Chlamydomonas reinhardtii: one gene and its partner. The protein of the gene in region 1 interacts with the protein of each later gene in a pairwise test. Links are inferred from orthologs where the notes say so. Each region holds a gene or a part of one and is shown on either strand. Other genes may lie near its edges.

Region 1 (3,907 bases):
AACGCTAGCGGTGAGTGGCTGTTCCACGCCGCCGCCTTGGCCCCCTGTCGCAGGTGCACGTGCAGGTGCATGACCAGGTACTCGGCGGCTGCCGTGTGTCTGTGGTCCGCTGCGACCTGTCCACGCATCCATGCACAGAGGCCGAACAAGACACGCAAGCAGCGGTCACGGCGAGACAGATGTACGAACACGGATGTAGAAGCAGGTAAAGGATGACGAAAAGCATCGGTCGAGGTCTTGCATGCGTACAGCGCACTTCCGTGCTACGCTTCCCAGTTCCCACCGTTCCCTGCATATTGCGACGGGTCAGCGTCATACAAAAGTACCGGTTCAAGACCCACCGTCAATGCTTTGACTGGCTCGTAGCCGCAAGAGTGCGACACCAGCCACCTGCAGCGCGCCACGACGTTGCACTGCACGGCCAGCTCAAACGCTTGCGGCCCCCATGAATTGTTCTCCAGGCTGTCGGGCTCACACCAGCTTTTGCTGTAGGCGTTCTGAGGGCACGACTTGGACGGGTTGATGGTCCTGTGCCGGGGCTCGCAGGACAGGGTTGTTGTGGCTCCGTCAGGCAGCGTCATGGGGATCTCATTCTCTGGCAACCGATTGGCAATGTGCTCTGCGATCTGAGATATCCAGATGCACGACGCCTTCCCTGGTAACCGCCAATACCTGCGTGCGGACAAGGGGCATCGCGGGGGTAACACACAGAGGGCTAAACGGGCTGGCAAGACAAGTGCACGGAGGTGGCGCGGACTTCTAGGTGACTTCTGAGTCAGACCCCTGGGTCAACACAGGCACACGTCACTTCAGCCTCATAAACGTTCAATTTCCACTGACTAGGTTTACTCTGAGGTCTCAGCACTGGCTGGGGTGATTTCGGAGTTGCTTCTGGCAGACTTCCGATGCAAAGTGTAGCGCCCTCAGCCTTGTTTCACAGCACAGCAACACCTGACACCTTCTCAGCACTGAAAATGTACATGGAAGAGACAAGGGCCGAGAACTGGGCTCGGGGCGATGTAGACAGTAGAGAGCCCTACTGCTGCCAGCTGCCTTGTGCCGCCGCCAAAAGGCCAAAGCTGGGTTGCATAAGCCCAGGAACGGAATGTGGCGACGAGGCTGTGTCTAGTAGACATGGCAGTCTCTGTTGCGAGGTTGCATGGGCGCTTCCGCGATTGGACGTGCCGAATCCGGCAGTGGGCTACTAGACTAGGCGGATCCTACATAGCGCGTGCTTACGACTGTCTTACTGAACTGCAGAAGAGCCACTGCTGTTGAAAACCAGTTTCTGACCGCCCTTTCGCAATAGGCCGAAATGAAGAGCGCCGAGAAGGTTGTGGCTTACTTCTACGATGAAGAGATAGGAAATTACTGCTATGGCGGGGGCAACCCTATGCGCCCGCACAGAGCGCGAATGTGCTACTCGCTGGTTGACAGTTACGGGCTCACAAAGAAGATGATGGTGCAGCGGCCACGTCCTCGGGAGTTTGAGGAGCTTACGGATTTCCACGCGGACGGTGCGAGTGGAGAGGGCTGACCGGCGGGCGACGCAGCGCACAGCAGGGCGGGGAAAGAGGGCGGTGCTGCCGGCTCCGCTGGTGGCCTCCATAAGCGTCACTAGACTCATACTATGTTTTCAGCTTCGTTTGCCATGCTGCTATTAAGGTCAAGGGCCCACCAGGCTTCTCATTCCCGCCTTGTGAACCCCGACTCAGATTACATCAATTTTCTGCGCGGCGTGACGCCCAACACGGTCGATGAGAACATGATGCAGCTACGTCGCTTCAACATGGGCATTGCGGGAGAGGCTGACTGCCCGGTCTTCGACGGCATGTATGAGTATTGCCAGGTGAGGTGGGGGGGCATGCGATGTGCCGGCCGGGTTGATGAGCTGCGATGGAACCCACGGCTAACTCGTGCGTGCAACGAACACCCTGTAGACGTACTCGGGTGGCTCAGTGGACGGCGCGGCGCAACTGGCCAGCGGCAACGCGGAGATAGCCTTCAACTGGTCGGGTGAGCCAGCGGACCTGCAGCACGGCGACAGATATTATGACGCTTGCGCCCGGGCCTTGGCACGCTCCTTATCAACGGCGGGGGGCGTGAATGTGTTAGTGTGACACGTTTGCAGAGCGTCGTCCTTGCGGACGGTAGGCGGGCACATGTGCCCGTCGGAGGCTCTTCAGGAGCATCCCCGGCTCTTGGGCTGCCGCCGCGTGTCTATGGCCGACCGCAGCAGCAGCACTCGCGCGCGGGGGCGCTCCATGCAGCTTGGGGTCTGGGGGACGCGCTGTAGCGCAGAAGGACGCCAGCCGCGTTCCATCCGGGCTGCTGAGCCGCGGCCCGCATTGGCGCATTTTGCTCCGCCCTGCAGGCGGCATGCACCACGCCAAGAAGGCGGAGGCCAGCGGCTTCTGCTACGTGAACGACATCGTTATGGCCATTCTGGAGCTGCTCAAGGTGGGCGAAGGGTTTTACTGAACGGCGGCTGAGCCTGAAGGGGTGACTGAGCAAAGCAGAGGAACTGGAGTGAAACAAGCGGCCCGGGGGGCCGCGCGTTGGGCGAAGGGACGGGGTGCTGTATGTGCATGAGTGGCGTTTGGGGTGGCGCTAGCGGAGGAGACCAGGGAAGGGAGGGCACGCGTGGAGGACACGGTTGCGGAGGACTGCAGCGAGTCGGCTGCTCGTGGCCTGGGGCCTCAGCAGGCGGTCTGAGGCAGCGAAGAGGAAGCTTTGCCCGCGCTGCGGCGGTTACCCCGTGTGCCCCCTCTCTGAACGCGCGCCGCGCTATGTCTGTGTGTGTGGCTGCAGACGCACGCTCGTGTGCTGTATGTGGACATTGACATCCACCACGGCGACGGCGTGGAGGAGGCGTTCTACCTGACGGACCGCGTCATGACGGTGAGGGGGGGGGTGCGGCGGGCAGGGGCAGTCGGGTCGGAGCCCAAGCTGGGAGCAGGGTGTCCGAGGCTGGGGAAGAGGTTAACAACGGCTGGCCGGAGCCCAAGAGCCCAAGGGGGAGCGGTGTCTGAGGCCAGGATTCGGGCTGACAGCGGCTGGGGCTGGAGCTGAAGGAAGTATGCAGGAGCTTGGCGTAGCGCTGAGCCAGCGGGGCTGTGGGTGGCGGCGGCGGCTTTAGTTTGGGATAGCTGGGGGAAAGGCCAGCAAGTGTAAGGGTAGACGCAGCAACCAGACTGCCGATGGCACTGGGGCAAGGGAGTGGGTCCGTGGCATGTCGGCCGCAGCGACGAAGGCACAGAGCGGACTGGAGCTGGAGTGTGGGATGTGCGGTCAACGGACTGCAGCAGATTCCGGGAGGAGGGAGGCACGCGACGGGGGCGCGACGGCAGGGAGGTCGGGAAGGCACGCTAGCGGCCTGCCCCGCGGTTCCATAGGCATCGTAGCGTAGCTCCCAACGCGGTGCTCGCAACGGCCGCCGAACCCCAGGTGTCGTTCCACAAGTACGGCGAGTTCTTTCCGGGCACCGGCGCGCTGGACGACATCGGGTACGGCAAGGGCAAGTACTACACGGTGAACGTGCCGCTTAAGGACGGAATGGACGACGACAGCTACAAGCTGCTGTACGAGCCCATCATGCAGAAGGTGGAGGGGGAGGGCGGGAGAGGAGGGTTTGGCCGTGCCATGAAAGACGGGAATGAACACATGCCGCGCGGGAGGGGGTGGCGTTCACGTGTTGTAAGCGTCCGAGACATGCAGGCATTCCGACAGACAGTACTCAGGAAGCGGCAAGAATGCGGGGAGTGGCCATGTCCGTGATCCCGTGTCAGTCTTTGTTGTCGGTGTCCACATTGTGTCGCCACAGGTGATGGAGATGTACCAGCCCGGCGCCATCGTGATGTGCTGCGGCGCCGACTCGCTCAGCGGCGACCGCCTGGGCTGCTTCAAC
Region 2 (3,774 bases), about 2.7 Mb from region 1:
AACTTTGACGGATGGGAATCACAGCACGGGGCCGCAGAGGGAACTAAACACGCGCGGGGTTCATACGGTAACCCGTCCGCCCCCGCTAAGCCTACCGAGCCCGAGCAAGGTGCTCCCCTCATCCCTTACCGTGCATCTATTGAGTGTGAGCGGTCCAAGATGTGGCGGCAGGCGCCTAGCACACCGGGGGAGGAGCGAAACTGCAGCAGGACCGCCGAGGCGGCAGCGGCGGTGGCGGGAACCTGCGACACCGCAAGGCAGCGCGCGTGCGTGTGCAGGCGACGGGGAATGGTCCACGGACCAGTTGCCTATTCTGTCTGGGTGCCGCTTCCGTGGCCCCTCTTCAATCCCAACCCGTCAGCCCGCGCAACACCCCCCTCGCCCCGCCACACCTTGAACTCCTCGCACGCCCGTTCCACCGCCGCTTGAGCTGCCTCCAGGTCCATTTTCCTAGAACGGTAGAGCCTGCCACACTCTCTACAACCTTTGTTTCAGCCTATAGCCCCTTTGTGGATCGCCAGCAGCTGCACGCCCAGCAACGCCGGGGAAGAGTTGGCGCCGGGCGACACTCAGGAATGCGGACGCACAATCAACGGCGGCCCGATGCACATTCCTGTATTTCCAATGTTTGTCTTGATGACTGTCATGTCAGTGTTCAAGGTGAATACCTTGGTTCTAGAAACAGAGGGGCCCCGGTAAGGATCGGTGCTGCGAAAGGGCAAACTGCCAGCCCAGGACCTATGAATAGTTGAAGGACATGATCCTAGCTCATAGAATTACATGACTGCTCAAACCATGGGGAGGGGTTTAGAGCATTGCATTCCTCATCCCAACTGAAGAATAGCGCTGTTTAACCTCCCCTTACCTAGAGCATAGCAAAGCATTGAATACGTGCTGAGCAGCTGCTACTGAGTGGCGCACCAACCTGCCCGCAAAATTGGTTGCACGCTGCGCAGTCCATTGCCTCTGAGTTGCTTCTGAAATTGCTTTTGACCAGCTACTAAAGTGCTTTAAGGCTTGGCGTAATTACAATAGCACCTGTTGAGAGAGATCCCAGCTTGTGTGGGCTGGTCCCTGGCGCTTGGCGAGCACCACCAAGGCGCAGACGATCTGAGGGTATGCCATGGATGTAGACTAGGGCGGGCTTGCACTGGGTATGGGGTGGGTTTGCGCTTGCCCACCAACCCGACACGGTACGCATACTCGCGCAGCGAGCACACCTGCGCACAACCGTGCCCTCGAGCTGCAACACGCGCTGCCCGCATACAGGAGCCCAGCCCAAGGAGTCCGTGCCAGCCGCGCCCACATAGCTGCCACCTCCAGCAGCCCCGCCCTCTCAGCAGTCCCCAGCACGCTGCATGGCAGCCATGTACCGGGGCGGGCAAGACTGGCGGGACGGGCCGCGCGGGGGGCCGCGCTTCAACGACGGCCCCCGCGGCGGGCCCTACGGCGGCCCGGGGCCCCGCGGTCCGCCGCCCGCCGCCTCGCAGCCCGCTGCGCCAGCTCTGGAGATTGATCGGGAGAAGACCTGCCCGCTGCTGATGCGGGTGTTCCCCAAGCAGGGCGGCCACCACAAGCTGGAGGACTTCACGGACCGGGCCAAGCTGCCCGACGAGGTGCGCGGTAGTGGGGCTGGAAAGGCATCAGGAAAAGGGGATCAGGTCATAGGTTGGTGAGCTGCGGCGGGGAGGATGCTGGGCGACACAATCTCCGAGGGCAGGAGACCCTTCGGGCGCGCTGTCGGCCGTGGGTTGAGCGGACAGGCTTGCCCGTGCAGGGTCCGCAAGCCCCGCATGCGCCACCTTGCCAAGCTTAGTGCCTCCTGACCTGTTCACACTTTGCTACCTAACTTGACAAGGCATGCGCTCGCAAACCCCATCTTGTCCTTTTTCGCCTCCACCTCCGCAGATTGCCATCTACACCTGGATGGACGCCGACCTGCGCGAGCTGTCCGACCTCATCAAGGAGGCCAACCCCGCCGCCCGGGCCCGCAACGCGCGAATGAGCTTCGCGTTCGTGTACCCCGACCGCAAGGGGCGCAACGTCATGCGACAGGTGGGGTGATGTGTGGGGGATGCGGGGGTTGACCAGGGTGGCGGGGATTGCTGGGGAGGGGGAGGGGGTTTGCGTGTCGGGCGACCGGGTGCAGGTGGGCGTGCCTGCAGGCTGGAGCGGCTCAGGGCGCGGGCGCGGAATCTGGATGCTGTACCAGCGCTGCGGCTATGCGTGGTTGAATGAAGCCTGAGGAGCAAAGAGCTCCATGTGATTTGGCGCCCTTGCCCGCATGGCCCGGCTCTGTGACACTTCTCCCCCTGGCGCTCCGTGCAGGTGGGCGTGGTTCACGCCACGCGGCCGGGCGAGGACGACACCAAGACGCTGCGCAGCCTCAACTTCCAGACAGGCGACTACCTAGACGTCTCCATCTACTGAAGACGATGCCTGTGTCATCTTCACCTTATCTTTACCTGTGGTGGACAGGTGTGGGGGAGGTAAGGCGGGATACCGAAGGTCTTGCGCTGGTGGAAGCAGGTGGCGCAGGACGTCATCCTGATCACTGGATGTACACTGGTTGGGGAGTGCGTCGGGAGTGTGCACTTGAGTGCTGCTCAGGCTGGTTTTTGGAGAGTACTCTTGGACCTACCTTGCCGTGGGTGTCCCTGGTAGCCAGGAGGAGGTGCAAACGCTACTCGCGCGTCTTGTGGGTGTCCCCAGTGTGTACGTAGTGTTAATGGCCTCCCTAGTGTCAAAGCGGGCAATTGAGGGAATGGAAGTGAGTGTTCGTGTTCGACTATCAGAGGAGGCCGATGCAGAAGAGTCATCTGTATGGGGGCGGACCGTGGGGGCGGGCGCGGAGTTGCACTTCGTGCACTGTAGCGAGTGCGAGGGACAAGTGGAGGAAGGCGTGGGGACAGCATGCCGGGCGACATCACAAGGATATTTGGAATGGTCAACTTGTTCGGAAAGATACAGGCACTGGCTTGTAATCACTAGAAAGTTCGGTGCCGGCATGTGTTGGCGCATGTCCCCAAGCCCTGCGAGCCCCTGAGGCACGCTGAGCCCGCAGCTGTTATGCGCCACGCCAGTGGAACTGTTCTGAGCCGCCGATTGGGCTTCCAGTGGCCGCGGATGATGCTTAAGAAGAGCCGCATTTTGGCATGCGGTGGCAACTGCGCTTTTTAGCGAAGGGGCCGCAACGTGAGCGCGCAACACATACGACTTGCACATTTTTTGCTTACACCCGGCGTCGCTTGGCGATCTGCCTTCAAACTTTGAAACGCGAACAGCCGATTGGGTCCTTCTACCTTGTCGAGGGTTGATGCGTAGTATTGGATCGGAACGATTTTTTGGTCACAGACGTATGAATCTCTAGCAACGTCAAACCGCGCCTGCGGGGCGCCCACTTGCCGGCCGGCACGTTTTCGCGTCAAGGCGCTGAAATGTCGAGTTCCTCCCACTTCATCACGCGCGGTGGCTGTGCTAGCAGTGGATGTCTACTGCAGCAGCAGAAGGATGTGACACACCGTGTGGACCCCAGCGCCGTCGAGGATCAATGCGCGAGCTTCCACTTGGGCAGCACAGCGCGGGCTTTCTCAAGAAGGAGCGTGTGCCGTATTCGGGTATCTCCCTCGATGACCTGGAAACGAGCCCAGCTCTGCGCGGCGGACCGTCGGAGCGCCGCGACGGACTGGTCGGTTGCACCTGAGGAGTCCCCAGCGCGCCCCACCTCACGCAGCGGATGTCGCTACGGCAACGCTAACATTGCACCCGCCCCAG

Evidence for each region.
Region 2: the proteins of CHLRE_09g387393v5 (region 1) and CHLRE_09g404400v5 interact in a two-hybrid assay, tested with the Arabidopsis thaliana proteins (2 studies listed by BioGRID). The link is inferred for Chlamydomonas reinhardtii from reciprocal best matches to the Arabidopsis thaliana genes HD1 and SAP18.

The regions. Positions count from the first base shown.
Region 1 is NC_057012.1:3,196,531-3,200,437, reverse strand, and holds the start of CHLRE_09g387393v5 (uncharacterized protein), read left to right. Parts: upstream 1-1,188; 5' UTR 1,189-1,315; coding exon 1,316-1,517; intron 1,518-1,715; coding exon 1,716-1,849; intron 1,850-1,940; coding exon 1,941-2,016; intron 2,017-2,374; coding exon 2,375-2,460; intron 2,461-2,811; coding exon 2,812-2,901; intron 2,902-3,447; coding exon 3,448-3,603; intron 3,604-3,823; coding exon 3,824-3,907. Other genes in the region: CHLRE_09g387430v5 (uncharacterized protein), read right to left, coding at 1-116, 342-581. UniProt on the Arabidopsis thaliana protein: Responsible for the deacetylation of lysine residues on the N-terminal part of the core histones (H2A, H2B, H3 and H4).
Region 2 is NC_057012.1:454,457-458,230, reverse strand, and holds CHLRE_09g404400v5 (uncharacterized protein), read left to right. Parts: upstream 1-851; 5' UTR 852-1,116; intron 1,117-1,269; 5' UTR 1,270-1,367; coding exon 1,368-1,616; intron 1,617-1,908; coding exon 1,909-2,055; intron 2,056-2,328; coding exon 2,329-2,430; 3' UTR 2,431-2,996; downstream 2,997-3,774. Other genes in the region: CHLRE_09g404350v5 (uncharacterized protein), read right to left, coding at 130-242, 393-446; CHLRE_09g404450v5 (uncharacterized protein), read left to right, coding at 3,630-3,774. UniProt on the Arabidopsis thaliana protein: Links the histone deacetylase complex to transcriptional repressors bound to chromatin. Involved in the tethering of the SIN3 complex to core histone proteins.